Linked DNA regions of Elephas maximus indicus. The protein of the gene in region 2 purifies or fractionates together with the protein of the main gene of each other region. This does not show direct contact. Links are inferred from orthologs where the notes say so. Each region holds a gene or a part of one and is shown on either strand. Other genes may lie near its edges. The genes, in order: PSME3, CLK3, FKBP5 and GPATCH8.

The links.
Region 1: the proteins of CLK3 (region 2) and PSME3 purify together in Homo sapiens (affinity purification with mass spectrometry; 5 studies listed by BioGRID and IntAct, counting the BioPlex papers as one, with this or other methods). This does not show direct contact. The link is inferred for Elephas maximus indicus from reciprocal best matches to the Homo sapiens genes CLK3 and PSME3.
Region 3: the proteins of CLK3 (region 2) and FKBP5 purify together in Homo sapiens (affinity purification with mass spectrometry; 3 studies listed by BioGRID and IntAct, counting the BioPlex papers as one, with this or other methods). This does not show direct contact. The link is inferred for Elephas maximus indicus from reciprocal best matches to the Homo sapiens genes CLK3 and FKBP5.
Region 4: the proteins of CLK3 (region 2) and GPATCH8 purify together in Homo sapiens (affinity purification with mass spectrometry; 3 studies listed by BioGRID and IntAct, counting the BioPlex papers as one, with this or other methods). This does not show direct contact. The link is inferred for Elephas maximus indicus from reciprocal best matches to the Homo sapiens genes CLK3 and GPATCH8.

The regions. Positions count from the first base shown.
Region 1 is NC_064837.1:49,667,362-49,674,616, reverse strand, and holds the start of PSME3 (proteasome activator complex subunit 3), read right to left. Parts: upstream 3,019-7,255; 5' UTR 2,978-3,018; coding exon 2,903-2,977; intron 2,800-2,902; coding exon 2,767-2,799; intron 2,637-2,766; coding exon 2,574-2,636; intron 2,354-2,573; coding exon 2,249-2,353; intron 1,340-2,248; coding exon 1,291-1,339; intron 757-1,290; coding exon 644-756; intron 416-643; coding exon 347-415; intron 211-346; coding exon 143-210; intron 47-142; coding exon 1-46. UniProt on the Homo sapiens protein: Subunit of the 11S REG-gamma (also called PA28-gamma) proteasome regulator, a doughnut-shaped homoheptamer which associates with the proteasome. 11S REG-gamma activates the trypsin-like catalytic subunit of the proteasome but inhibits the chymotrypsin-like and postglutamyl-preferring (PGPH) subunits.
Region 2 is NC_064831.1:64,685,836-64,693,625, forward strand, and holds the start of CLK3 (dual specificity protein kinase CLK3), read left to right. Parts: upstream 1-4,784; 5' UTR 4,785-4,872; exon of another isoform or gene 4,873-4,911; intron 4,912-5,194; exon of another isoform or gene 5,195-5,274; intron 5,275-7,790. Other genes in the region: ciliary rootlet coiled-coil protein 2, read right to left, coding at 1-30, 314-443. UniProt on the Homo sapiens protein: Dual specificity kinase acting on both serine/threonine and tyrosine-containing substrates. Phosphorylates serine- and arginine-rich (SR) proteins of the spliceosomal complex.
Region 3 is NC_064819.1:99,356,607-99,363,889, forward strand, and holds the start of FKBP5 (peptidyl-prolyl cis-trans isomerase FKBP5), read right to left. Parts: upstream 3,010-7,283; 5' UTR 2,875-3,009; intron 1-2,874. UniProt on the Homo sapiens protein: Immunophilin protein with PPIase and co-chaperone activities. Component of unligated steroid receptors heterocomplexes through interaction with heat-shock protein 90 (HSP90).
Region 4 is NC_064837.1:51,005,701-51,012,974, forward strand, and holds the start of GPATCH8 (G patch domain-containing protein 8), read right to left. Parts: upstream 3,002-7,274; 5' UTR 2,744-3,001; coding exon 2,699-2,743; intron 1-2,698.

The DNA.
Region 1 (7,255 bases), on a different chromosome or scaffold from region 2:
ATATTTAGCTATTTTAGAAACCAATTTGGCTCTTGTAATATAATATCTGGAAAGAGAGAGAAGAGGAAGCTGCAGGAGACCCTGGTCCAGTACCCACCACCTCACAGCCCCCAGTTCCTGGACCAAGTCCAAGCAGACCTACCTAGAAATCTGGTCCAGATAAGAGGCAGCTTCACTCTCAACAGTCCTTAGTTCTGCAACTGTCTCTTCCTGAAAAAACATAAACAAAAAACAAGTGAGTTGAAAGCCACTCCCATGTTACCCTGCAGCAGCCACAGATAAAGCAGGGAGATGGGAACATCTTCCAAACCTTTCCTTCCAGTTTACAACCAAGCAAGCATGTTACCTGAATGGATACCCCAAAGTTGTTCCCATCTTCTATCCTGGGAATCAGGAGCTGTACCCACATTTTGACCTGGAAGGTAGGAGAACCAAAGCACATATATGAGAACCTTTGCCTTTTCTGCTGAATGCCTGAAGTCTACGATTTGGGCTGCTGGGGCCAGATGCCAGGAACGCAAGAGCCAAGACACCTAGCCTGCCAACCCCCAAGACCATCTCCATGTCTCCAGCCCCCTAGCCATCGTTTTTCACCATTCAAGCGGGGCTATTTCGCTCCACAGGTCACTGGCCTCTGCCTCACCGTGTTGCATTTCTCGATCAGTAGTCGGATCTCAGGTTTCACTTTCTCAATAATGTCCACCAGCTGCTGGTTACTTTTCAGCATCCCATTGGGCATCACAAATACCTTGGTTCCTGGCAGGGACACGAAGGTCAAATGACTGGGGAGAGGAGGAGGACATAGCATCCTCCACTTTTCTCTCTCCTTCCCCATACCCACGAGATGCTGTGACCTCTGCCTTTTGTCACAACCCTATCTACAAACCATGGCACCACTATCAGAATCAGAAAGAGAATGTACGTATTAACCAATGAATACTTAAAGCCTGCCAAAAGCCTTAAGGACAAGTAAATTAAAATAAACGTATACACCAAAGACTTAATATATCGATTTTATTGAAGTGGGAAAAACAACATGGAAGTGGAACTTCCATGAACGTCTGGATACGTAGACTCCGTCTACAGCCTCTCTCCCTTGGCAGTCCACAAGTCAAACCCTCCCTCTCTTTATTAGAAAGTTAGGTGTAGGGCTAAATAATGACCGCGTTTGGAGTGCTTAGGAATGCCGACTCTGGGAAATAAAACCAGACCCTGTTTCCTGGCGAGAATACCAGATCCACCCCGCTTCTCAGGGACGCAGGTCAACAGTGGTATAGGGGTGGCTCTTACCTTGGAAGGCCTCTTCACACTCATCCAGCCTTCGCTTCTTATAAGTGGGCTAAGGATACAAAAAAGGCGTGAATTGGCCTGCCCTCGACGTCTACATCCCCAGTTACCTTTCAAGCAAGTTTAATTCCTTCCTCAACCCCATGGGTTGTTTTATCAATTTATGTACAGTTTACTAAGATTATCTAAGGCTTTAAGACAGGGTTCTTGGCACAAAGTAACTAATACCCTAGTTGGGAAGACCAACCTTTCAAGAAATGAAAGACGTTAAGCAATTGGGGGAAGAGGGGTGAGGGAAGGATACTATAAAAAATACAGAAAAGGAACGATTAATGCAGGGTGAGGTTAATTAAGGGAATATGTACAAATCTCCTGGTTCCACAAATATTGAATATTGAACACGATATTCAATCAACAAACATGTCGCACTTTCTGTACACCTGGCACAATGCTAGGTGCTGAGGATACAAAGATGATTAAGACACTTTCAGTCTTCCAAAAGTGCAAGTTCTGTCCATCAGACAGTAATGCAGACAAAAACAATACAGTCTGACTAATGTTATAACAAAATTACATGAATGATAAGGACTGGGTTCTGAAAAATAATGAAGCACAGCAAAGACAGGGACTGGAGCTATAGGGCATGAAGAATTTATTAAGAATAGAAAGAGCAGAAAAGCCTTGCTTAAAGGTGCGGGAACAGACCACATGACCTCACAGAAGCTGTAGTGAGTTTACTCCTCTACACTGAGAGTGAAAGGAGAAGAATAATCTCATGCCATGGATGTAAATCAGGGTCTAAAGGGAATGTGCTACAGTTGTCACGCCCGTAAGAGTCAGAGTCCTGGTTCCCAGATCCAAATTCCACTGTTCCCTCTGTACATGTTCGAACTGACCAGGGAGCAGACAACCAAGAACCTACGGCTTAAGAAGAGAAAGATACATATAAAACGACACTTACACCGTCCAGGCCATCGTGGCTATTGGTGAGAAGAATGGGATCAGGGACCGGGAGGTTCATGTCTGAGTGGATCTGAGTTAGGTCATGGATGTTTAGGATTGGTTCCTGAAACAGAAATGCCCACCCCCCAAAAAACCTTAGTCTTTTCAAACTGAACAAAGAAGTATTTCATTTGAAGGGCAAGAAATGAGGCAGTGCTTGACGGTGCAAAACAAAATAGAATCAACATACACTTTGTCCCATTTAAAAAAAAGACCAGAGCCCTCCCACACCCAAAAAAACAGGGGAGATTGGGGAAAACAGAGGAAAGAAAAAGGTCTCTCACCTTCAAAAAACTATCAAGTTCTAACAACTTCTTTGGGAAAAAATTTGCCACCAAGTCTTCTGCCTAAAGGTGAGGGTGAGGGAATACTGCTGAATTAGTAACTGTGGGAAGGTCTTTCTCTACAAATATTCTCCACTTTGGGAAACTCTCAACTACTAATCAGCATATGAATTTTTCTCCCTATTTCACTCACCTCACTTGTGATCCGCTCTCTGAAAGAATCAACCTAAAATTAACAAAGAGAGCAATTCGGTAAAAGCAAATTCAGTGCCTGGCAACAGAGGTGAGGGCAAGATGGGGAATCTCAAATCTAGCTGCCTTTCCCTCACCTTGTAATTGTAATGAGAAGCTGACAGACCCCCAGACTGCAAATACTTTATTTTTTTGAGGATCCATTTTTCCATCTTAGGAGAGGGAAGCGGGGCTTGAAGGCTGCCTCCGCCTTTCTTCCTCTCCTCCCTCCCACCCTCTTTCCCCCCCTCCCTGTGTCAAAAGCTGTCTAGATGTGACAGGGGACAATAGACAGGTAGATGGAGGATGTGAGCTCACAAACGTGCCAATCCCCACCAGACCTAGCCTATGGTATGGGGTAAGCCTGACGCCAAGGGCAGGGGCAGCAGCAGTGTCCGGGCGCGGGGACACTGCTGGGTTGGGGGATTTCCAGCTGTCACTAGCCCAAAGCATTGAGGCGAACACGTGCCCGCCGAGGTCTCCCCGGGGCTCTCCATCACCAGACGGGCCACTAAAGGCCACCCTATATTATCCTTCCCACTGGGGCCGTCTCCGGCAGTGGGGGGCTGGGCTGAGCCGAGCGGAAGCTCAGAGCTGGAGTCCCCAGGGAGACAAAGACGCCATGGGAGTGGGGAGTAGTCAGGCTGCTGAGGGAACAAGGCGGGGGGTGAGGATGTTCGGACCGGTGCGCTACCTTGAGCTTCACTTCCTGATCCACCTTCAACAACGAGGCCATGGCCGGGCCGGGCCGTGTCCGCTCCGCTGTAAACCGGAGGCGCTGTGGGCTCCGGGGAGGGGGCCAGAAAGGCGGGGGGAATCTTTGCTGTCCTCGGGACGCCGATGACCTCGCCGGCTCACTTACTGCTCGCTTGCTCCCTCCGTGCCGTCCTCCCGCCTGCCCGCCTGCCTGCCTGCAGCCTGCTGCTTGCTCTCTTTCTCGCTCGCCCTCCCGGCTTTCGCCGCTCACACCGGAAGTTACGTCACAGCCAATCGCCGGGACTCCAGCGAGTACACACACGTGCCCTGCGCAGCCGCGCTGGGGTTCGGCTTTGGGCGCCCAAGGGCGGAGCTCATATTTCTCGGTCTGTTGCGCGCTCTGACGGGCTCCCTTACCTGTAAAGGTGAAGTAAGAGGGAGGACGGCGGAGGGTTGTGTACTGAGAACCGAGCCTCTTAGAGGCTCAAGAACTGTTTGGTCCTCAGTTGGCCTGGAGCTCGCCTTCGCGGAAGCGAACTCCGGAGCTGGTGCCGCCCCGCAGACAAGAGCGTCAGTGCCGTCGCAGCCCAGTGACGTCCGCCCAAGGAAGCCGGCTTCCCCAGCGCTCAGTTCGCTGAAGTACGCGGTTCCTGCTGTGTTATCTCGTGGACAGAAGAAGCTCAAGTGTTTGAGGCTAGAACCAAACAGAAGACAGATTCCGTTGTACCAGACTGCCCCACTTTTCTCCTCTTCGTCTCGTAAACTTCCAGACCTCAGAGATAACTAGCTGATGTGCAAAATGACAACCAGAGTAAGGAAGGGCTCGTCCAGGGCTACACGGTGTTTCTATAAACCCGGGACCAGAACCCAGATGTCTTGATTTCTAGGACAATGCTGTATCCATTTTCCTAAGGGAAGGCAGAGGCCGTATCTCTTCACTCATCAATTTATCCGGTTTATCTCTTAACATTGCTTATTTCACTTAGTTTTGTCCAAGAAGCTAGAAATACAATGTGAGTCACGAATGTCGTTTAAAATCTCTTAGTAGCCATATTAAAAAAGTAAACAGGTGAAGTTAATTTTAATCATATTTTAACAGCATATAAAAATACTCTAACAAAAAAAAACATGTAATCAATATTAATGATATATTTTACTTTTTTTTTTTCTTGATACCAAGTCTTCAAAATCTTATTTTACGCTTACTGCACATCTCAGTTAGAGCCAGCCACGTGTGGCTAGTGGTTCCTGCATTGAACAGCACGGCTTTGGGAAACCAAAGGAAAACATGACTCTAGTCTCATGGGGCTTAATGTTAGGGAAAGACACCAAAAAGTAAACGGATAAAATACTTGCAAAATTCAATGAGTGTTTGGGGGAAAATGGCTGACAGAGAGAATTCCAGGGGTCTATTTTAGAGCCCTGGAGGCACAGTGGTTAAGAGTTCCATTCTTAACCAAAAGGTTGGCAGTTCAAATCCACCCACTGCTCCTTGGAGACCTTATGGAGCAGTTCTACTCTGTCCTGTAGGGTCACTATGAGTTGGAATCGACTATAGGGCACCAGGTTTATTTTAGAATAGCCAAGGAAGCCTCTCAATGAAGTGATGTTTAAGCAGAGAGCTAAAGGATGTAAAGAAAGGGGTTAGCGGTAACGACATTTACCCTGGGCAGAACTCTGCAAGTGCTAGGGAGAGGAGAGGAATACACAGTTAAATGGAGGCCTATGGAGTCCAAGAGACTTGGCTTCAAAGCCTGCCTCACCTCCTTACTGGAATGTTGGCAAAGTTACTGAACTGCTGAGTCTCAATCTCATCTACGAAATTGAATTTTAATAATTACTAGTAATAAAATATAATTTTGTAGGGTTGTTGAATATTAGAAATATATGTAAAACAACTGACACACTGGGCACAAGGCAGGAACTAAACAGTTATTGTCAGATGAACAACTTGTTAGTGCTTAGCATAAAGAGATTACTCGTTAAACTCTGATAATTATCATCATCCCTGCTTTTAAGCTTTATTTATTCATTCATTTATTCAAGACTGCATACAACATCCTGTACTACCCATCTTGCTTCATTAACTTCTAACACTTTTCGAATGCTTTTACCTCTCCCGTTAATGTATGTCCCAAGTAACCTTTGAAATCTGATCTGAAACTTTAGGAATTTTTTCCCAAATTAACTTCATCCTATTTTCCCTATGCCAATGCTCTGCATTTCCTTCAGCATTTGTAACTTCAACTTGAGAGTTTAGTATGCTTGTGCTTGTTGAAATACAACTTTGTTCTCAAGTCATTATGTTTTGTCTCCTTCAAGTAGGCTATAAGAAGACATACACATTCTTTATTTCCCTTCCTTCTCTCCAACCCAGATGTTTTAAATGATACTTCACTTATTTATTCAGCAAACAATTGCTGAGGGCACCACTATCTTTTTTTTTCCAATTTTTTTATTGTGCTTTAGGTGAAAGTTTACAGAGCAAATCAGTTTCTCATTAAATAATTAATATACAAATTGTATTGTGACATTGGTTGCCAAAGATGTGATGTGTCAACACACTCCCCGTCTCCACCCTCAGTTCCCTGTATCCATTCATCCAATTTTCCTGTCCCGTTCTGCCTTCTCATCTTTGCTTTTGGGCTTGTGTGCACATTTAGTCTCATATACATGATTGAGCTATGATGCACATTGCTTACATGTGTTATTGTTTGCCCTGTAGACCTGTCTAATCTTGGGCTGAAAGGTGAACCTCGGGAGTGACTTCAGTACTGGGTTAAAAGGGTATCCAGGGGCCATATACTTGGGCTTTCTCCAGTCTCCGTTAGACCAGGGACCTAGTATTTTTAACAAGCACTATTCATTCCTGGGTGTTTGTAAATCACACATAATCACTGATGACTCGTGACACTTTAAATTCGTGTCCCCAAATCTCTAATGAGTGTACAACACTACCTGAGAGCCTATGGCATGCTTCCGTCAAGTTTCCTCTCCCACACTCCAAAATGACTGTCCTATCTTGTCATCTCCCTCAACCTCCAACATCCCCCCCTCACCTCCAGCGTATGGTCTTTGCTTAAACTTCATTGAGAAAACAGGAGCAAATGAGTACTTCATTCCACCAGTAAACCTGTTGTTGTTAGGTGCCACTGAGGCAATTCCAACTCAGTGGCCCTGTGTACAACAGAACCAAACACTGCCTGGTCCTGTGCCATCCTCACAGTCATTGCTATTTTTGAGCCCATTGTCGCAGCCACTGTGTCATTCTATCTCATTGAGGGTCTTCCTCTTTTTTCACTGACCCTCTACTTTACCAAGCATGATGTCCTTCTCCGGGGACTGGTCCTTCCTGATAAAGTGACGCAAAGTCTTGCCATCCTTGCTTCTAAGGAGCGTTCTCTGGCTGTCCCCTCTTCCAAGACAGATTTGTCTGTTCTTTTGGCAGTCTGTGGCGTATTCGATATTCTTCAACACTAATTCAAAGGCATAAATTCTTCTTTGGTCTTCCTTATTCATTGTCCAGCTTTCACATGCATGTGAGGTGATTGAAAATATCATGACTTGGGTCAAGTGAACCTTAGTCCTCAAGGTGACATCTTGCTTTTTAGCACAAACTGACAGACAAGTGGTGGCCACTAAATCTGCCAACCTGCAAATACTTTACTCCTCTTTCACTGAAAGAACTATCCCTGCTACCATTAAATCCTCACTCTTCCTTTTGTGTGTTGGATTGCATCCCTTTTCACTTTCTC
Region 2 (7,790 bases):
TGAGATCCATGGGCTCTGCCTCAGTGGGCCCTGAGTACAGAACAGACTGGAGTCTAAAGCTGGAGCAGTCCCTTCCTCCTAGAACACCCACCTTTGAGCCCCCTCCTCAGATGCAGAAACTGAGTCCCTGGGGTGAGCATGCACTCAGCCCCACCCCCTTGGCCCAGGGTTCTCTCTGGTTATTCCAGTTTCAGATAAACCCCAGCCTCGGCACCACTAAACAGTTCTCAGTTCTAACAGTTCCCGTGTGCTGTGGGTGCTGACCGCCAGCCAGGCCACCTACTGAATAAACACCACCTCATTTCACACTCACGGGTACCCGGCTGGGGGCTGTGCCGCTGAAGCTCAGAGGGGGCATTCAGTTGCCCCTGGTCACTGCAGGGCAGGGAAGAACGGCCCAGTAAGCAAGGTAGGCACAGGATTACTTCTTCTTGCTTACTCATCTGTAGAGCACAATTTCACCTGTTCCTTACCGTGTTAAAGATGTTCTGAGACCCATATGAAACTGTGCACTACAGATGATAAGTAAACACAATTAAGCCCGTGCCTACCTTGCTTGCTGGTTAATCCGCCCCTGCTGCAGGGAGTCCCTGCAGAATGGGGATTCCCACCCAGCGCTGTCAGGCACTAGAGCGCACACTCACCCACCCTGCTGCCCTGCAGCGCTCCCCTTCCAGGTGTGTGAGTCTGGTGGGCAGTGGTTAGGAAACAGTAGGGGCCAGGGGAACATTTCAGGGCCAGCACAATTTAGCTAAAGGAGCCCTGGTGGCACAACGGTTAAGTGCTTGGCTGCTAAGAAAAAGGTATGGGGTTTGAACCCACCCAGCAGCTCTGCAGGAGAAAGACCTGGCGATCTGCTCCCGTAAAGATTCCAGCCTATGATTGCTCTGACAGAGATCACAATAGAGGGTCGCGGACAGAGCAGGAGAAAAAAAAGTAGAACAAAATTCAAATTCACAGAAAAAGACCAGGCTTATGAGTCTGACAGAGACTGGAGGAGCCCCTGACACTATGCCCTCCGGATACCCTGGTAACTCAGAATTGAAGCCACTCGTGAAGTCCACCTTTCAGGCAACGATTAGACAGGCCTTTAAAACAAATAATAACACAGGAGAGGAACGTGCTGTTTTAGTTCAATCAAGTATTCAAGACCAAATGGGCAACACCTACTCAAATGCAAAGACAAGAAGGCAGGAAGGGACAGGAAAACTGGAGGAATGGACATGGAGAACCCTGGGTGGAAAGGGAAAGGGGGACAGTGCTGACACATTGCAGGGGTTGCGACCAATATCACAAAACGGTTTGTGTATAAATTTTTGAGTGAAAAGCTAACTTGCACTGTAAACTTTCACCTAAAATACAATAAAATTAAAAAAAAAGATTACCCACCCACTGCCATCGCAGCCTAGAAAACCCAACGGGGCAGTTCTACTCTGTCACGTGGGGTAGCTATGAGTAGAAGTCAACTCAATGGCACCTAACGACAACAACAACATAGTTTAGCTGTGATGTGGGGGTCAGAAGCCCCCAAACTCCTTGCTCTGATACCTCTTCAGTTTCCATAACTGCAGCTGTAACACAGGGGCCCTGACACCCATTCCCCACCAGCTTGTGGTAACTCATGAGGCAGACAAGGACTACTCGGTGGGTATTATCCCCTCACACTCCTCCTATCCCCACTCTTCTTACCTCCAGGGCCTCAGAGTCCTACCACTGTCTCCTTCCTCCCAAGCCTGAGCGCCAGGTACCCAGGCCCAGGCTCCGTGATGGCATGGAGGGTGTGTGGCCCAGTCCTGGAAGGCTGTCTCCACCTGAGGAGAAAGAAGAACTAGGCTGAACCTCCCCTCCCCTCGCCCTGATGTGCCCATTCCTCATATACCCAGACCTGCTCCCACCTCAGGATGGCACTGCCATCCACCAGGCCCTCTCGCCTCTAGACACCTTGACTACTCTCCCCTCCCTCCAGGCCCAGGTCCCTGCAGCCCAGGAAATGGGAACCTGACTCTCCTAGGGGCTCCCAGGAAGGTTTTCCAGGGGAGGTAACCCTGGGGCTGAGGCTTGAAGGTGAATTAACTACCCCTAGAGAAGAGAAAAATGGATGTGGCAGACAGAGGAGAGAGCATGAGCAGCAGGACAAGAGGGGGATCAGAACAGCTGGGGCCTGGAGGGGCAGTAAGCTGAGTCTGCGTTGAGGGTGGCCAAGTGAAAAACCAAGAGGGGCAAGGCTGGCCCTAAAGAGGAACTGTGGGGCCAAGTGGCTAGGAGCCGGGCACAGGGCGGAGGCAAGACCTCGGTGCTCTTGAGTCATGCTTTGGACCTCAACAGAAAGGACCTGGTGCGGGCAGGGGCGGGCGACTGGGAAAAGAGCTTGGGTCTTCAGGGCAGGGCTGTGGAGCAAACCTCTGGAGTTGGTCCACCCCCTGAGCTCCCGGGCCAGGGGTTACCAGGGACTTATTGCCAGGCAGCACGGGAGTATGAGAGTGGTGCAAGGGCAGTTCCACATACATCACATCAGGGTAGATCTTTTTCCAAGTGCCTATTTGGTGCCCTGGTGGCACAGTGGTTAAAATGATGGACTGCTAACCGAAAGATCAGTGGTTAGAAACCACCAGCAGCTCCACGGGAGAAAGTTGTGGCAGTCTGCTTCCTTAGAGATTTACAGCCTCGGAAGCCCTGTGGGGTGGCTGTGAATCGGAATCCGCTCAGTTGCAGTGGGTTGGTTGGTAGGTTATTTGATACCCTGTTTCACATTCTGCTCAGGTGTGAGTTCTTTTAGGAAGAAAGAGACAAAAGAAAGAAGACTTACTGGTAGAATCTCAAGCCCAATGGCTGCCTGACTCCAGATTTTGGAGAGTTAAGGAGCTGGGAGATGGCTCCTATTTCTCTTCAGAAAAAGAGAGAGCTGCTTCCTCACTGGGAGGTAGGGACTCCTGGTTTCCTGGGGGTAGAGGGCTTGGGGGAAGATGGGCCTAACTTACCTCCTCAGAGCCTGGTGCCCAGAGCAGAGCTGGGGACAGGAGCCTCTCTGAGGGCCTTGGCGCCTCTCAGCTGCCCGCCACAATCCTGGCTCCAAGGAGCCATGGAAACCGCGGGCAACACTAGGTGGTGGGAGGAGGAGCCACCAGAGCCCTCCCACCTCGTATGAGTGGATGAAACCCCTAGGAAGAAACCTGGTTGGTGTGTCCACGGCCTAGACCAACGAAGCATTGAAGCATTTGGAGCCCGGGCATAGGGGTGGGTAGGGGTTGTGGCACCTCAGGTGCCTGCCATTTTTTAACCCCCTGGCCCCTGAGGCAAGATCCTGAGGGGGCGAGATCTGAGGGCGGCAATAGCCAGGTTCTGGGTCACCCACTGCACACTTGAAGTGGCTCTAGAATTTCTATATTGGGGGCAGCATTTGATTGGCAGGAGGACTCGGGCATGGTCTTGAGGGGGCATTAGCGTAGCAAGCACCCAAGTTTTAGGTAGCTTCTGTGTTTATTTTGGGTGGGAGTGGTGGAGGAAACCGAGATTTGGGGGATGTAAGCATCCCTCAAGCCACGTCGTAAGACTCCAGTTTAAGGGGGCGCCAGAAGCGAAGTACTATAGGGGGAATGGTCGCCTCTGACCAGGCAGCCGGGGCTTGGAGACCGCGCCCCCAAGTCAGGGGCGTGGCCAGTTCTCATTGGGGAGGGGGCGGGAACTGGGCGGGGCCGGGGAAGAGAGGCAGGCGGGCGGCCCGCCTCCGCCCTGCCCCGTGAGGTGTTGGAGAAACCCAGGCCGCCCATTGGTGGATGGCAAGAGCTGGCTGTCCAGGGGAGGGGGCGGTGCCTGGGGAGATGCCCAGCCCCGCTCACTCCGGCCGGGAGAGGCTGCGGGTTTCCAGCGCTCGCTTGGCTTGGGGGCAATTAGGGGCCGCTCCCGCTCGTTTAGCTGCGCGACGCCCGGGAGAGCCCGGGGGCGGGGACGCCACTCCCGGATCGGGCGGGGCGTGCGCGCCACAAAATGTGAGGTCTCCCAAAGGGCCCCGGACCTCAGTTTCCTCATTTGGGAAATGAGGCTTCGTAATCCCGCTCTAGACAGATAGGAGGGAGGCGTTATGGTGATGCCATGCTCGGGGGCCCTGCATGGCGCGAGGCTTTTGTTTGGCTGGGGCTTACTGAGAAACAATGCTGGCCGCACTAAGACGCTCTAAAGGTACTCAAGGGGGAAGAAGACCCCCTGCCACCTGACCCCGACCCCTCCAAGATGCCCCACCATTGTGGCTCTCGGGTATATTCCCAAAAACTGTTTTGGATAAACACACAAACACACATTTCATTTGCTTTTTTCACACAACCGTTGTCACCACCGCCTTCGTGAGCCTCTGGGCCCAGGTCTCCGCCGTCTTTAGTTCCCTCTTGGGCCCCGTGGCCAGGTGGACCGCAGTAACCCCCGTTTTCACTGTCGTAACAGGGAAACAACGACCGTCCCCTCCGCGCACAGAAAAGGGGTTGGCGGACACGGGCGAAGCTCCGCCTTTCGGCTCCGAGCACCCCCGCCGGGCATGGAGAGGCTCGGGGACCAGGCACCTGTCAGGTCTGGAGGGTTTACGTGCGTCGAGACACGACAGGGGGCGGGGCGAGCCGCCGCCGCCGCCGGAGCCACCCCTCGGCCCTCCCGGAGCTAGTCTCGACTACTCTGCGGCACCGACCGGAGCGTGGAAGGCCAGTCCCCCAGAGCCTTCGAGTCAGGGGCTAGAGCGTCCCGGCCACCGAGCCGAGCCGACCCGGGGCTGGCGACGCCTGCGTCACCCGGGGGGCGGGGACGCCACGGGCGGAGGCCGGAGCCGGAAGCGGAAGAGGTGCTCGGAGCGGGGAGTGGGGCCTAGCCGCAGCCGGAGCCTGGGAGACGGTGAGTGTGGGCCTCGGCCCGCGACGACGGCTGCGGGAGGTGAGTCGGGCGGGGCGGCCTCGCCGGGTGCGGGTTTCGGGTGTCCCGGTTTGGGCTCGGTCCGCGCCCTTTCTCTTCCTTTACCAACCTCAGGCCGCAGCCCCGACCCCTCACCCCTGACCCGCTGCTTGTCGCCCCGAGGGCGAGCACGGCGGACCTCGAGCTCTCGATCCCGTGGTGTCGGAGTGGGAGCCAGAGCAGCCTCTGAGGCCCCCTCTGTCAGCCCCTGCAGGGACCCAGTTTCGGCACTGCGCCTGCCCGAGGAATGGGGTCGGGGTCCGACCTGGGATAGCCTGGAGACTCCTTCAGACTCCTTGGCTCGAGCCTTGGTCCGTAGGTCCCTCCTCCCCGCGTGGCCTGGAGTTGGATTCTGGCTCACACCGACCTGCCCCCACCACCTGGGTCCCTCCTCCGCCATTGACGGTGGTTCGGGGGGCACGGGGCTCCTAGATACCCAAGACCTGGGGCGCCCGAAGGGACCCGAGCGAAGGCCGCAGGCGCCTGTGTGTGTTTTGTTGTGATGATGGAGCCGCTCCAGCCCCGGGGGAGGGGCCCGGCCAAGCTGACAGCCCAAATGCCCGGCTGCTCCTCAGCCCGGTAGCCTCTGTGCTTTTAGTTCCGGGTGCGAGTGCCCTGGTGTGGAGCCGGTGTGGGAATTGCCCGAGCCAGGCCCCGGTCGAGGCGGAGTTGGCGGGCTTCCAGCTTCCCTCCTCCGTGCCCTTGAAAAGGAGGAGCGTTTCACCCCGTTGTGGCGGCTTGCGAGGTGGCAAGCTTGAGGTTGCAGTGGCGGGGCAGTGCCAGCCAAAAATAACCGTGGGGCGCTGGGGTGGCAGGGCTCCGGGAGGGCAGTCGCTGACCCGGCTGGCTGCACTTCTTGTCAGCCCAGTTCTCTGGCCAGGAACAGCAAATGAGAAGCCGACTAGGCCTGTGCTCCGAGGAGAAGAGCTGGCATCCTCGGCCTGGTTTCCTTCACATTACCTTTTTTTTTTTCCCATTGTGTAGAGCAGAGCCTCCTAAAGCATGATCGTGACCTTAGCTTCCTAAAATAACCTGTTTGCTGGGGTCTCAGTGGATCTGAGGCAATGGATGAGAAATGGGCTCTTGTGCTGTTGGTGGGAGGCTGAGGAGGGGGTCTGGTAGGTCCAGTAGCTCACCTGCCTAAAATGCGGTAAAGGAGAGATGATTTCTCCTATTAGTCTTGCCTTGCGTGTAGTACTTTATAGCTCTCATGCTTGTCATCTCCTTTGCCAAGTTGGCTGGGAGGTAGTGTTATCTCTACTTTCCAGGTATGGTAGCCGAGGCCTAGAGTGACTTGTATAAATTCACGAGGACAGTAAGTGACAGCACTGAGAATTAGGTCAGGGTTTTCTGCCCAGAACTGTCTTCCCCCAGGTTCCCAGGAAGGGACTTATAAAGTGTTCTTAGTGCTCTTAAGGCATTTAACAGAGGTCCAAGTTGTTACCCGGAATGTTTTTCATTTTGTTAATGAAAAGTTGCCTGTAGTACCACTTGTGGGCCCAGGCCTATGCTAGGCAGTTGGTTTAGAGGAGACACATTAAATCCTCACAAACACTTGTAAGAGATTGTTATCCTGTTATTGCAAGAGGAAGCTGAAGGATAGAGCAGTTGAGTAACTCGCCCAAAGGCACACAGCTAGAAGTGGCAGTGCCAGGCTTCAGACTGACATCTGTCTGCCTCTGAAGCCTGGGCTCTTTCCACTAACATGAAGTGTGTGGACATGTGTATCTTCCAGGTCCTGGGAGGGAGGCTTTGGCCTGGTGTGGACTAGACCAAGTCCTCCTGATGCTTTGTCTCCTAAGCAAGGAGGGCCCATGCCAGGCCACTGGAGCTTTCATTCCACAGCTTGGGCACCTGCCCCAGGGTAATGGCAGGAAAACAGTGAAACATTAGTCACCTAATCAACAAAACAGAACAGCAATCCAGGTCTTAGGGATCTGTCAGTGATTTTCTGTATGTTTATCTCCAAGGATTGCTGAGGGCTGGGCCAGTACCACTTCCTGGACTTCCCAGATAGAGAGGGGACATCAGCTACTGGGGAAATGGAGGGCAGTGACTTTGTCAGGATCACCGAGGAGCTCCCAGGAGTTTGGTCAGATTGGCCTCTTTGCCCTGCTTACCCCAGGGGGAGCCATTCCATGCTGCTCTCCTCTTGACAGACCTTTCTGCCTTGATGGTGCAGCCTCAGTGGGTTTGTCCGAAATGTGCTGGTCAGGTGAGCCCAGGACTGACCATGACCAGAGGCTGGCTGTGGCCAAGTGAAGGATTGGCCTAGCCTTCCCATGGAGGCAGCATCAGGGTTTTGGATGTAGGTGGAAATGGGGGCTGGCCTCACATAGCCACTTTTCTCAGCTGGTACTGGTCCAGCCTGGCGATTTCCCGTGGCGGATATAAGTCTTTGCTTAACAGGGAGAGTGGGGTGGGGCCCTTTGGCCTGCCTGCCTGTGCAGGCAGCCAACCCCTCTGCTCTTCCTGAGATGGGAACAGGAGCCAGTACTGGAGCAGGGGAAAGAGAAAAGGGGACAGCAAAGGTGATGTTGGAGAGAGGTGAGGCACTGCCCAGCATGGCACTGCAGGTGGTCTGAAGGGTGCTAAGTGGGCCTCTGGCAAGAAACTTGGGTGCTCGGAGGACCCTGGCATCCCAAGGGATACTGAGACCAAGTGATGACCAGTAAGGGCTGGTCAGACTCTGGGGTAAGCTGGGGAATATTTGTGAGACCCTGTATGCCTCTTTTTCCGAGGGCTTGTCCTCTCATCTGTGGCTCCTCACATTGACTTGCGATCCTTACTCCCTTGAGTAGGGTCCACTTCAGGGCCTCAGCCAGGAGACTTTAGGCTGAAGGTGTTTCCCCGCTTGCGCC
Region 3 (7,283 bases), on a different chromosome or scaffold from region 2:
TGAAATGTGTGTTGGTGATTTTATAATATAGTCTACCACAAATTTAAGTGGACAAAATTCAGTAATTAAATGATCTAAAAACTGAATTTTAAGATGAGCCCTTAATTAAAAGGTACTTCATATTTAAATCACCTAAAATATGCTTTTGTATAAATCTACAAAATATAACTTTAACTTATGATATTTAATTATTCATCATAGGACAAGGACTATAGTTTCTATTACACTTAGTTGTATTTAAAGTAGCACATTCCTATACATTTTAAAGAACAATTATATAAATCTCTCAGAACAACTACAGCCCATCTTGTAAGTTTCCTCACAATTCTTTATACAGAACAGAACCCAGTTTACATAAGGACTCACTATTCAATCAATGTATCCTCACTAAACGTTAAAAAGCCAACTCAGTTTTTTATAGCAGTAGTTTAGTTATAGAAAAACACGTCCTCTTTTCTCTGGACTAATTCATCCTCAACTGACTTTAAAAAAAAAAAAACTTGTTGCCGTTGAGTCAATTCCGACTTATAGCAACCCTACAGGAATCTAAAAAACCAGAAATATGTAATCTACTCCAATCCAAAAATAAACAGAAAATTTAAGATTTAATTGTCTAATCCAGTATTTTAAGCTTTTCATTTTTTAACTGGTTAATATTGTTTTAAAAAAGAAATTCACCCCAAATTCCCATAACTAAATGCTGGAAAGAGAAAGACCTCATAATATATAAGCCTGGTGTTTTAGAGAAATAAAACATTTTAAAAACCAAATGTATATAGACTTTTTTTAAATCTGAAATAGTCACGACTAACCTGTTGACAAAAGTGTCCATTTTACAATGATGTTCCTAGGTAAATAAGTAAAATTATCATTCAATAAAACACTAACAAAGTAGCATAACTCATCTAAATCAAAATTAGTAACTTTGTTCTTAAAAAGCTAAATCTCTAAAGTGTAAATCATGTCCAATACAATGACGCTGAAGAAAAAGAAACTGAGTAAACTAAAGTGTTTCTCACGAAAGACAAGTGTTATTAATAACCCAAATTTTAAAAATGTATTATTTCTTTTAACAAACAAACAAAAAAGCCAAACCCAGTGCCGTCAAGTCGATTCCGACTCATAGCGACCCTATATGAGATTATTTCTATAGATGCCCTAAACTGGTCACGGCCATAATTGCAGATTGTTAGGCAGAAGTCCGCTGAGAAAGAGACAAATAGAAAATGGTAAGTGAGGGTATGACAGGAAAAAAAAAAATCCCACCAGAATAAGAATTTTTTTAAGTCTATCCTTGCATTTTGATTCAACCCCAAGAGAAGCAGCTACTATAACTCTCTAAAGTAAAAATCTTGATATGGGGAGGCGGGGGGGAATGGGAATGGAACTCCCACAGACTTAAAAATAATTAACCAAAATATGCCTTAACTTTTCCCTAGTCCACAATCTAACAAAATGCAAAGACAATAAAAATAAACACTCCTGTATGAGTCTACCCTCAGAAAGGCAAAGAAAGCTCCCATTCAACGTTAAACCTTAGTCCACTGGAAAACACACTCCTGAAGAGTCAATCCAAACCACGAGCTCCAACTGCTCCATGCAGAATTTACTGAATGGCGGCCAAAGGCTGTACACGCTGTTCCGAACCACACGGAAGGCGATCTGGAGTCCTGCAGTCTCCACTTACAACTCGTACCTTACTACGCCTTCCCCACCACTGCAGAAACCCATTTTTGAAAGGAGACTAAAATGTTCCTCCTGGCTTGTGAGTCGAAAAGGCAATCTACACCCTGACCCTCAAACTGTTTGTCTCAATCCTGGTTTTGACTCATACACTCCTCGCCAGCACATCTTTAGAAGACAGATAAAAAGTAGAAGGCTTTAGCGCCAGGGCTGAACAGAAGGAGGAATCCTAAAACAACTTTTAACTGGCTTTCATCTGGCCCTGCTGTTAGGTGCCCGTGGAGTCCATTTCGACTCACAGCGACCCCATCTGGCTGGGCAGAACTGCCCCTAGGGTGTTCTAGGCTGTAATCTTCACGAGGCAGATGGCCAGGTCGTTTTGCGCGGAGCTGCTGGGTGGGTTCGAACCGCCCACCTTTAGGTTAGCAGCCCAGCGCATAACTGAATCACGAGTTCAAGGAGCCGTGCACCGGCCCCTCCAACAAGTGGCCGAGGCGCAGGGATGCTGCTTCCAGACGCCGCTCCCGGGCGGCAGGTGAAGGCGGCACGCCCATCCACACCCATCGGGCTGGCTACGCCGGGAGAGCGCGAACTGGCGCGGAGGGCAGCCGCGGGGACGCTCCGTTATCCTCGCCCTCCACGGGCCCCGCCGCGGGAGGGAGCCTGGCTCGTGCCCGCCGAGCGTCCCGGCGCGCAGCTCAAGCCCGGGCTCCACTTCTCCCGCCGCCCCGGGCCCCGGAAGGCGAAGTTTCTCTCCGGCTGGCGGCGGCGGCGGCGGCTACTCACGCTCCTCCCGGCGGCCGCGGCGCCGCTCCGCGGTCACGGGTCCGCCTGCCTTCGGGCAGCCGGGGTCGCAGACAGGAGCGGGAGCCGGGACCTGTCAGCCCGGGCGGGAAACAAAAGCCGGGTGAGGACCAGGGGGCGCGCAGCGGGGGCGGAGCGGCTCCCGCGCCTCCCGGAGCGAGGTCCGGCCCCGAGGTCGGCGGGGCCGCTAGGGGCCCGCAGGGGGGCTGGGCGTCCTGGCGCCCTCGGCTCGAGGCTCCCCCGGCCCCGCGAGCCCCGCGAGCCGCTCCCGGGCTGGGGACCTGCGTGAGGGGCGAGAAGGCGGCGCGGCCGTGGCGGGACCCGGAATGAGGGAATTCGGCTCCCGGGGCGCCGCCCGCCCCATCCCTGCGGCCATGGCGCTGGTACCTGTCGCTGCGGTGGCTCGCCGGATCCGTCGCTCTCCGCCTCACCCGCGCGCCGCTCGCTCCTCAGCCCGCCCAGCAGGCCACCCGCCCGCGCGCCGGACGCCGCCACCCGAGACTGGCAGCGCCTGCGAGCCGGCCCCAATCCCCCGGGCAGCGCCCGGCGCTGTCCCGCCCCCGCCGGCCGCAGGACCCGCCTTCCATAGGGCCCTGGGGCTGTCAGTCCGCCCCCAAAAGGCGCGCGGGCTGTCTCCCTGCGTGTCCGGATTGGTGGCCGTGCGCCGTCCATGTAAATCAGGCCCCGCCCCGTTCATTTGCATCTCCGCCTTAATGCTACCTCCGCCTCCCCTCACCAGCCCACGTGTCTGGCCCTGGACCTTTGTGGGGGTCTGAGGGACAGGATGGAGGGAGCTGACCGACCCCCCCACACACACACACTTTCCCTCACCTCCAGAGAAATTACGCCTAAACAAGCTAGTTGACTTAACACCCATATCGCCTCTCCGAAAACTCTGTCCTTTTTATCTGACCACCAGGCGTGCCCTGAGGACGGAGAGGGGCAGGCCAGGTCAGCCCCAGGAAATGACCCCATGAAGTCGAAGACGCCCAGCCAAGACTGAAGAAACCGCACCTCAAGAACCAATTTAGCACACAGCACCTCACCAGTGACTGCCAGGGCCATGCTTTCCCATGGCTTTCTACCTTTCAAACATGAGATCCCAGGCAACTGAGACAGGAAGGGACCTTAAAAATTGCTCTACCTCTTCCCCCACCCCAAAAAAGGGCAGGCCTGCTAAGCAAGGTCAACTTCAAGAGAACCCCACCCTCAAACTAGATGGGCTTCCCCAGTAGCTCCCATAGTCATGAGGGGTTCCTGGGCCTTAGGAACTATATAGCTCAAGTCCCTCATTTCTGAGCAAACATCCCTAAAGTCTCACGGCTAGTTGCCTATACCATAACCAAGCCCGTTGCCATCAAGTCGATTCGGACTCATAGCAACCCTATAGGGCAGAGTAGAACCACCCCACAGGGTTTCCTGGGCTGTAGTCTTTGAGGAAGCAGACTGCCACATCTTTCTCCCTCAGAGTGGCTGGTGGGTCCCAACAGCTGACCTTTCAGTTAGCAGCTGAGCACTTAACCACTGCACCACCAGGGCTCCTTAGATACCTATGAGATCTAATAATTACCTTTGGAAAGCTATTGTCCCATAGCTAGGTCAGAACTCACACCTCCTAGTTCCAAATCTGCCTTCTTTCCACTATATGGTGTTGGCCATTTAAGTTTTTATGAAGAGCCTTTACTACAAGTCACCATGCTGGGTGGTACCTAGTTGTTCCTTGCCTTCAAAAGGTGGTGGCTGCAGAAAAGACATAGGGCCAACACTAAAACCTCCTCAAGGGCAAGGACCCTGTCTTAGTCATTTTATGTCTCCTTTTTTTTTCAGTGCCTAGCAGCTTCCCCTCTCTGCAGCTGCTGGGAAGAGTTCCTGGGACACTTTGTTCTTACATTAATTTAGCAAGACAAAACTACTCTTCATACTAACACCAATTTAAGCATTTGTTGTTAGTTACCGTCAAATCGATTCCGACTCATAGCGACCCCATATGTGTCAGAGTGAAACTACTCCATAAGGTTTTCAAGGCTGTGATCTTTCAGAAGCAGATGGCCAAGCCTGTCTTCTGAAGCGCCTCTGGGTGTGTTTGAACCACTAGCCTTTTGGCTAGTAGTCAAGCATGTAACCATTCGTGCATTAAGCATCCAGTTTGCTTTATGACAGCAAGTATTAAGTACTGTGCTACGTGTAGGGTATACAGAGGTGAGAAGACATTGCTCTAGCTGAGGGCTTCAGCCTAGGTGACAGTGGCATCCACATAGCATGTCAGTGCTCCTCAGATTACAGGGGCTGCGACAGATGTCTATATAGTATACAGTAGAGGGTCCTCAGGAGGAGGAGTCAGCTCTCCCTGGGGGAGCCAGAGAAGACTTCATTGAGGAAGTGACACTGGAGCAGAGTCTTAAAAGATGGAGTAGGTGTTTGCCAGACGAAGATAGAGGGACATGGGAGAGGAAGGACAGGGACTCCCAGGCAGTGGAGGGATAGTATGAGAAAAATCAGGCAGCTCTGGTGGTTGAGGGAACGCCGAGGACAAATCTGCAGGACTGTGTGGCTGCGTCACATGTTCGGGGACCAGGCTCTTCCAGGAGGAAGACAGAAAGGCCCGGGAGGCTGCCAGGCTGTGTTGTAACACACCGCAGCAAACAACAACAGGCCCTGTCAATACAGCTGCAGCCTTTTTTTTTTTTTTTTGTTCCTAGGCTGGAGTCTGTGGGGAACAGTCAGTTCTACAGTTCCGACGGCAGCCTGGCTGGCCCCACCCACTCCCTCAGAAAACCACTCCGGTCACTGCACTTGCCCTCCTTGGCATTTAGAAACTCGTGTGCTTGCATTTTCCCTAAACATTGCTGCCCTTCAGAATCCAAAGATGACGTGGGCCACAGCTGCAGACACCTGGGTGTGGGACGAGCAGCCCTGTCCTACCACACACCGTAGTTCTTCACAGGGTCTGGTTTCAAGGCTGGTTTCATGGGCATGTGACGTGTGTAGTCCCACAGGTCCCTGCACTTAGAGGGACCCTGCACTTAGTTTAATGCTCTGCAATCACCATCTTGAAACTCTTAATTTTTCATCAAGAGCCCCCATGTTTTCATTTTGCACTGGGCCTCACAAATTATGTAGCCAGTCCTACCCGTCACTGTTCATGCCCCTGGGCATGCTTGTGGCCAGCCTGGCGCTGCTCAAACCACAGCTCATATTTAAAGCACTTGGCATTTACTAATTTTGTTCACGCGTATTGTATCACTTGATCCTCACGAAAGGTCATTATTACTAGTCCCATTAAAAAAAAAACAAAAACTGTTGCTACTGAGTCCATTCTGACACATGGCAACTTCATGTGTTGCAGAGCTGAACTGCACTCTATAGGGTTTCAATGGCTGGCCTTTCTTCTGTGGCACCTCTGGGTTGACTCGAACCTCCAACTTTTCGGTTAGCAGCCAAGCATATTAACCATTTGCACCACCCAGAGACTCCCATTTGCTAGTTGGGAAAGCTGCACAGCTAGAAAATGATAGAACTTGTACTTGAACTGTGCACGCAAGCCCTATTATTCACTATGGAGCTACTCCATTCTGGTTTCAGAATCTTTTCAAAGGCAGCTTGGTACACAAAGTGTGTACTATTTTAAGAGTTAGAACACCTAGTGGAATGGATCGCTGTCATTTCATGGCTGCCTACTACCTTTTGAATAGCTTTTCATCAGTTTTGAAAAATTCTCAGCCATCATTTGTTCAAATATTGTTTCTGTCCCTTTCCTTCTTTCCTTCTGTGGCTACAATTGAAACACATAAAACTTTCTCACTCCATCCGCTCCGTCTGTTTTTTCAATATTTTGTCCTTCTATCCTTTGTTTGGAAACCCTGGTGGCATAGTCGTTAAGTGCTGCGGCTGCTAACCAAAGAGTCAGCGGTTCAAATCCGCCAGATGCTCCTTGAAAACTCTGTGGGGCTGTTCTACTCTGTCCTATAGGGTTGCTATGAGTCGGAATCCACTCAAAGGCACTGGGTTTTTTTTGGATTCTTTGTTCTGGTAAGTTTCCTCTATTTTTCAGTTCATTATTTCTCTCTTCAGCTTTTTCTTTTTCTTTTTTTAGCTCTTATAATTTGGTTATTTTATTTTTTAGTTCTAGAATTTCTATTAGGTTCTTTTTCACATCTGCTGTGTCACTTCTTATATCTCCTAGTTCCCTGCTATAATTTTCAAGGTTGGCTTTTCTCTCCTTAGATACGGAACATACAGTTGATGTATTGTATCATCGAAATCAGGCGCGGGTATAAATGAGGTTTCTCAAGTGCTGCTCCTCTCAGTCTGAAGACCTCCGAATAGAAGAGACAACTAACTCATCTGCTCCCCACTTGCCCAACATACGATGGTGAGGTGGGGAAAGGAAAATGGCTATATCTGTTGCCATTGTGTCTATTCCGACTCATAGCAACCCTACAGGACAGAGTAGAACTGCCCCATAGAGTTTCCAAGGAGTGGATTCGAACTGCCCACCTTTTGGTTAGCAGCCATAGCTCTTAACTACTACGCCACCAGGGTTTCCAAAATTGCTATAGATGCCTCCATTCAAAAAGGAGAGAGAGAGAGGAAAAAAAAAAAAAAGAGGAAATGGCGGCACACAGCAGTCACAGGTCCATAGCAATACTGACATCCAGCTGGGCATGGTTCCTTGATTAGGTTCCAGTTCTCGGGATACTCAGACTTCTTACATGGCAATTGGCTTCCCCCAGAGCCAAAACAAGGCAACTGCCAGACCTTCTTAAGGCTGAGGCCAGAACTGACACATCACTTCT
Region 4 (7,274 bases), on a different chromosome or scaffold from region 2:
TGCCACAAAATCCATAAGCCCATCTCTCTGACTCCATACAAGAGACAACAAACTCACCAACATTTTACACTTGATGGTAAATTGCCAAAGAGTGAAATTTTACAATTCTAAATTATCTTGCCAAAATAAAGGCAAATAAAACAGTAAGTCATTTAGAACTTTCCAGAGAAGATGGCACAAGGAAATTTCCAGTGCTATCAGAAGATGTTTAAAGAACAGGACCTATATACTGTGTTTGAAAACCTACTAAGTATTTTTCAAGCCTATTATCACTAAGTAGCCACAATATTCAGTGACTTCGCCTCATTTATCACTTAAAAACCTGAAAAGGAGGCCACAGTTTTTCTTTTCTGGGGGGGTAGGCTATAACCTAGATTTAATTTCAAATAACCTGAACTTGAAAAATGTTTCAGATACGCCATACACAAGGGTGTTCTATTACATTACATTCTCCTCCCCAAGAACTTTAAATCAAAGGACATTCTTCATGAAAGTCAATCTGTTTTCCTTTTATTAAAACAGAGAAAATGCTACTTTATGTATTTTTAAATGAATTCTCTTGAGAAATGTTAGCACAATAGTTTACAAAAATTTTAACATCTCCTAACTGTCTAGAAGATTTCCACTCCCAATAGCCTATTAAACCAAAACGCTAGGACATCTAAATAAATAAAAAAAAAAAAACATTTCCCTGGTTGACCCAATACAAACCGAAAAAACCAAACCCCTTGCTGTCGAGTCCTTTCCAACTCATAGTGACCCTATAGGACACAGTAGAACTGCCCCAGAGGGTTTCCAAGGAGCAGCTGGTGGATTCAAACTGCTGACCTTTTGGTTAGCAGCCGAAGCGCTTAACCACTGCGCCACCAGGGCTCCTGACCCAATACAGGAGTTGGTTATTTCAACATAAAAGCAGGAAATAAGTTTAAAATACATGTAGTATCTTCAAAGGACTACCAAGCAACCAAAAGGAGATTTTACATAAACCCAACTAAAACAGCAGAGGATCATCCTTCTTAGAAACTAGGTATTGAAAAACTAGAGGCTAGCCTCAATTTTTTCAAGTGACAGCATTCACACTCTGCTACCCATGGTTTTCAAAACCTTCTTTCAAGCCCCTGCAAACTCTGGGTTCTTTTTTTTAAGTCTGTTGTAATTCTGTGGTTGAGAGCCATTTTTCCTCTAAAAATTGTCCATACTTATCTATTTTCAGCTTTATCAGGTCACCTTGAAATTCTCACGTCTAAAAAGTATTTCAGGGTGTTATCAATTTGTCTCTTTAAAAATTACCAATGAAGTCCACATACTTTGCAGCCTATTCATGTTTTATGGTGTTTGTAAAGAAGTAATCGTCCTCAGAAATCAAATGGCCCATATAAACTGTTTCCAACTTCCCTGGGCCTGTATCATATCCTTAAAACACCCTGAGATCCTGTATTGTGTACTGCAGCTGTACAGCAGGCGCATGATCACAGGGCTTTTCAACAGCCGCCCCCCCTTCTTACCGCTGCAAAACTTCTCGCAACGCTTTTATGTACTAGACTGTTAACAGAGTCCGTTTAAAAACTGCTAAACAGCTTTACCTGTTTACTAATCCATTCACCTCAGGGAATTCAAATCCTTCAAACGGCCTTCTGAACCACATTTAGAGTAGTTCTCACGTTGCTTTAAGGAAGATCCGCAGCGGGATAAAAAACTTGAGTTCTGATGTTCATCCCCTGACCCAAATTGCTGTTGCCAGGGTATGCGGTAGTAATGCAGTGGTTTCTTTGACACTCAGAATGTATTTTACCCTAGAAACAGTCAACCTCTACTAAATCTTTCTTAGTTTCGGAGATTTCCACACTAACAATACTCGACAGTAAGGTATTTTAAACAGTCAGAGGACAAGTTATTCTAAACTGGCCTTAGTTTTTCCCCAATAATGCTTGCCATTTTTCCACACCAACATCTGCAACTGGAGAAAAAAAAATCGAGTTTTTGGCACTAGTTTTCACATGCTCAGAAAGCCCATTTGTCATTACGTCCCCCCAAATCTTTCTAGGTAGGATTTGGGACTGACTGAGCTTACATCGACCACAGTCGTATAACTTAAACTGCTGTCCAAGACCAATGAACGGCCTAACAACAGCAACATTTATGGCCAGTGAAATCTCAATGTCTGATTAACCAAGAACGCGTCTGATAACTAAGGCACCCTTTTTGCAGGCGAAGAAATGGAAAAATGGGCAATGAAAAGGATTATTATAGTGAGGGGAGACGGGAGAAGGGCCCCAAGAAGATTCGAATGAGCGAAATCCAGGGGTTCCGAAGCCCTGGCCTCAGCAACTCTCGCCCCATCCTCCCAGCGCAACCCTCTTTCCCCCCTGGGAGTCAGCCCTGCACCTCCACAGGCCCGGCCGCCCCGCAGGGCGCACGTCCCCCACTGCCCCCAGGCTGGGGTTCCGACAGCCGAAGCCCAAACAGGTCGAAGCCGCAGATCCAGCGGCCTGAGTTAAAGTCAGAGAATGCGGGTGGGAGAAGATGCGGCCTCGCCTCAAGCTGGGAGGCCCCTTGAGAAAACGGAGGTGGGAGGAGGGCTAGCGGGTTCGGAAGCCGAAGCAGAGCCTGGAAGGAAACAGATCTGGGAGCCAAGGATGAAGAAGCTTCCAGACTCGGCCGGCGCCTTCCCCGGGTCCTCGGCTGCGCCGGTGTTTACCTGAAAGTCTCGGTCCTCGTTGAAGCGGGAGAAGCGGTCCGCCATCTTGCCGCCTTCACTCCTCTCAGAACGACGCTCTCCGGTTCACTCCTTCCCTACCGCGACACCCGCCCCCTCTACTTTCCCTCCCCCGTTCCCCGCCTCCTCCGACGCCCACCGGACGCGCGCAGGCGAGGGAGGGAGGGAAGGAGGGAGTGAGCCAGAACGCCCGTCCTGACGGAAACCCCGCCGGCGCAGGCGCCTTCCAGCCTCGGAGGCGGAACCTTCCCTCGCGTCACCGCTCAGCGCGCTGCCCGGAGCAACCCCAGCGGCTACGCGTGCGGACTCGCGCCCTGGGGCGCTTAGCGCTTCCGGAGGGAAAGGTCAGAGGAAACACGGTGGGGATGAGTCGGGCTGTTTTTCCAGCTGCTCACTTGCCGGTTTACAGCCCTTTTCTTACCCTCCTGGCTCCCTGTGTATGCAGAGGTCCATCGTCTATTTAATTAATCAAATAACAACGTAATATAGTGCGGCGGAAAGCACGGGCTTTAGAGCCGTTCTACTTTGTTTCAAATCCTGGTTTGCCCTGAGGACAAACGGTGAACTAACCAGAAAAGATGCCTTCTCTCAAAGGGCTTACGTTCCATGGGGGAAGTCAGATAACTGACAGTTACACAACTTCAGCTATTAATAAGTATATTTAAAAAAAAACTGGGTGCCATGATGAGAAGGATGACCTCTGAAATGGCCTTTGACCTGAGAAGCGGAAGGGGGCCTGCAGCCTTGTAAGGTCTTGAGGCAGAAGGAATATTAGACCAAAAAGCCTTATGAATGGAAAGAGTTTGGCATTTACAAGCAATCGTTTGAAAGAAGTATTATTTCTCAGAGGTCTGAACAGTTGATCCAATTCAGCTAAAGCTCTCTAGGCCTGTTTCCATTTTCTAAAATAAAGAAATTGAGTTTGGTAATCTGTATCCTCCAGACCTGGTGGTGAAAAGCTTAAGAGCTTGGCTGCTAACCAAAAGGTCAGCAGTTTGAATCCACCAGCCACTCCTTGGAAACCCTATGGGGTTCTACTCTGTCCTGTAGGATTCCTGTGAGTTGAATGACTCAAGGGCAGCTGGCTTGGGTTGGTTTTTTTTTTTTTTTTAAACCCTCCAGCTCTGCACTGACTGTGTGGGTCATAAATCAGACTTATCAATCCTATGACCTTCCTGAGGATCCCACCCAGCCCTCTAGTACCCTTAGCTAAAGTACATAAAACACACAGGTGTGGCAGGACTTCACTGCTTTTGAAAAGAGCTGTTGGTGGTAGTAGTACCTTTGAGTCAATTCCATGTGCAGAATAGAACTGCTCCATTGGGTTTTTCAAGGCTGTGACCTTTCAGAAGCAGATTGCCAGGCCTTACTTCTGAGGCACCTCTGGGTGCATTCGAACTGCCATCCTTTAGGGTAGCAGTCCAATGAGTAAGACAGTGGTCCCCAGGCTGCAGAAAATTCCACCTTTTCAAGCAGCTTGCTTGGCACACCCATAGCTTTACATTAGAATCCTGGTTCCTTTGCTTGACAAGCCTCCTCCCACCAGCTTTACATTTAAATCCTGGTTCCCCTCTCCTTAACTGCTTCCCCCAAACTGGAGAAAATTGGCAGAAACCAATTTAGGCGCCATGCTGATATTCAGGATAACCTTTTGGACCTCATACATAGTAACTTCCCCGCCTCTGGGTAGAGTTTAACCATTTTCTGAACACATGATGCCTGTGTAGTATGATTAAGAGTTGCTGATGTAACTTGCATGAACTTCCTACTTGTAAACCCCTTAAAAGTAACCTTCCCCCTTGCCCTCCCTGAGCAGTCTTGGCAGCAGCCCTAACTGTCTCCTTTCTTTATACAACCAAATGAGGCGCCTTTCTACTCTCCCACCTCTGGTCTCTCGTTTGGCTGAGAAGAGTCGCACTGAGCAGAACCTGGGACTGTTTTTGAAAATAGCAACAGCACAGAAATCACACAATGGAAAAGCAGCCCTTACCCTGGCCCTGAGAAAATAAAATGGAATGTAATTGTTTGGAGGAAGTGTGGTTATCTTCTATTCCTTTGATCTTCTATTCCTTTGTTACCGTCTGTCCTACCTGACCCCCAGGCCAATTATGAAACAGCTCTAAGAAGTGAAAAGACATCCCCATCTAAGCGGAGGCAGAACACATTGAATTCATACTTCGTAAAGTGACTTGAGGGTTAAGTAGCAGATTGAATCACGTAGGTACACATCATAAATTTACTTCTCTCTCTCCAAACCCCACTAAAATGACAAAGGGATGAGAAGGGTATAAACTCACATGGACAAAGAGAGCAGGAGGGGGACAACAACAGACAAGAGATGTCAACAAAATTTTAGAAGGTAGAGAGCATAGATAAGTGGAAATGGCTTTGAGAGAGTAGAGACAGTCCTGGAGTAGGGGAAGCCAGGAAACAAGCTGATTTTCGTGAAGAACACCAGAAAATCTTGGGAATTGGAGTCATTGCTAGGTAACTCTTAAGGTGAGAGTGTGGATGAGGCTGAAAACAGGAGGATTGGTTGGTTACAAGGCAGTTTAAGAGCAATTAGACCCTAAATTCCATTCCTTCTCTAGGGGAGCAAGCTGGAGGTTACCCTCTAGAAAACTGGAACCAAGAAGACTGGGTTTTGACATGTCTAGCACAGCTGAGGTAGGGGGTGCCAAGCTGAAAACAGGAGGATACAGTAAAAGCCAGCATTCCAGCGAGAGACCAAGGGAATCTCTCCCTGGGGAAACTGACTTGTTTAGGGAGAAAAAAAAAAAAATGTACAAGCACCAACAACGGGAAGGAGGAGATTTGTCAACAAAAATGTCAGTTCCTGCCCAAATACCATAAAAAGAAGCCCATAATACAGCAAGCCCCATCTACACAGAGCTTTGACTCAGCTTTTTAATGCCTCACTCTTAAGTATTAAGGAGCCCTGGTGACACAGTGGTTAAAAACTCAGCTTTAAATCAAAAGTTCAGGAGTTCAAATCCACCAGCTGCTCCTTGGAAACCCTGTGGGGCAGTTCTACTCTGTCCTGTAGAGTCTCTGTGAGTCGGAATCGACTTGATGGCAATGCGTTTCTTAAGTATAAATGGATAGCCAAGGATTACCAGACATTTGAGGGGAAATCTGTAACAGGAAAGACATAGATACCCTCCCTCAAAACACACACGAAAACAGCAAAAAGGAATTCAGAGGCGCCAGAGATAATGAAGGAGCCCTGGTTGCTCCATGGTTAAGCACTTGGCTGCCAACCAAAAGGTTGGCAGATGGAATCCATCCAGGGAGAAAGACCTGGCAATCTGCTCTCATAAAAATTACAGCCCAGAAAATCCTATAGGGCAGTTCTACCCTGTCACATAGCGTCACTGAGAGTCGAAATTGATTCAGTGGCACCTACCAACAACAGAGATGATAAAAGGAACAGAAAGAAACATCAAGAGAGTTATAATCAATATCCACAGAGATAGAGATCGTAGTAGGGAACAAGGATAGGATGCCAAAAAAGAAAAAATATTTGGAAATAAAGAAAGATTTTTGGAGATTCAAAATTCTTAAGCAGAAATGAGAAATTTCATAGAAAGGTTAGAAAATAAAGTTGAGGAAATCTCTCAGGAAACAGAGTAAAAAGATACCCTGGTCCAAGCCACCTTCACTCTTCACTTTCTCCTGAATTACTGCAGTAGCTACTAAGTGTTACCCTTGCTTCACCTTTGTCCCTTGCATTCTGTACAGCAACTATGGTGATCCTATTAAAAAGTCAGTCAGATCACGTCAGTCCTCTGCTCCAACTTTCGAGTGACTTTTTCTGTCATTTACAGTATAAAGTCTACTGACCACCACCACCTCCCTCTCAAGCCTCATCTTCTACTATGCTCCCTGCTTCCCTTCTCTCTGGGCACACCAGACCTGCTCCTGCTGCGGCCTGCCCTATTTTGGGGCTTATGGATATGCTGTTCTTTCTGCCTGGATCATTCTTTCTCAGATATTCACAGGGCTTTCGCCCTCATTTCCTGGTCTTTACTCAAAATGTTACTTTCTCAGTAAGATCTTTTTTGATCACCCTATTTGAAATTACAGAGCCCTATATATTTATTTTTTTTATATAAAAAAATTTTTTTTTATATATTTTGAACTCCCTAGCCTCTTCCCCTGTTTTGTTTTTCTTTATAGTACTTATCACTTTCTAACATATAATTTTCTTACTTCTGCTTACTGTTTATATTCCTCCACTAGAATATAACCTCCACAAGGGCAGAGACTTTTTTTCAGTTTTATTCACTTCTATATTCCCAGCACCCAGAACAACGACTGGCACATCTATACCAAAGCCAAATCCATTGCTGTCAAGTTGATTCCAACTCATACCACCCCTATGAGCTCCTATGGGCTCCCAACTGGCACATATCCATCACTGTTGAGTCGATTCCGACTCATAACAACCCTATAGGACAGAGTAGAACTGCCCCATGGGGTTCCCAAGGAGCGCTGGGCAGATTCGAACTGCCGACCTTTTGGTTAGCAGCCGTAGCTCTTAACCACTACACCACCA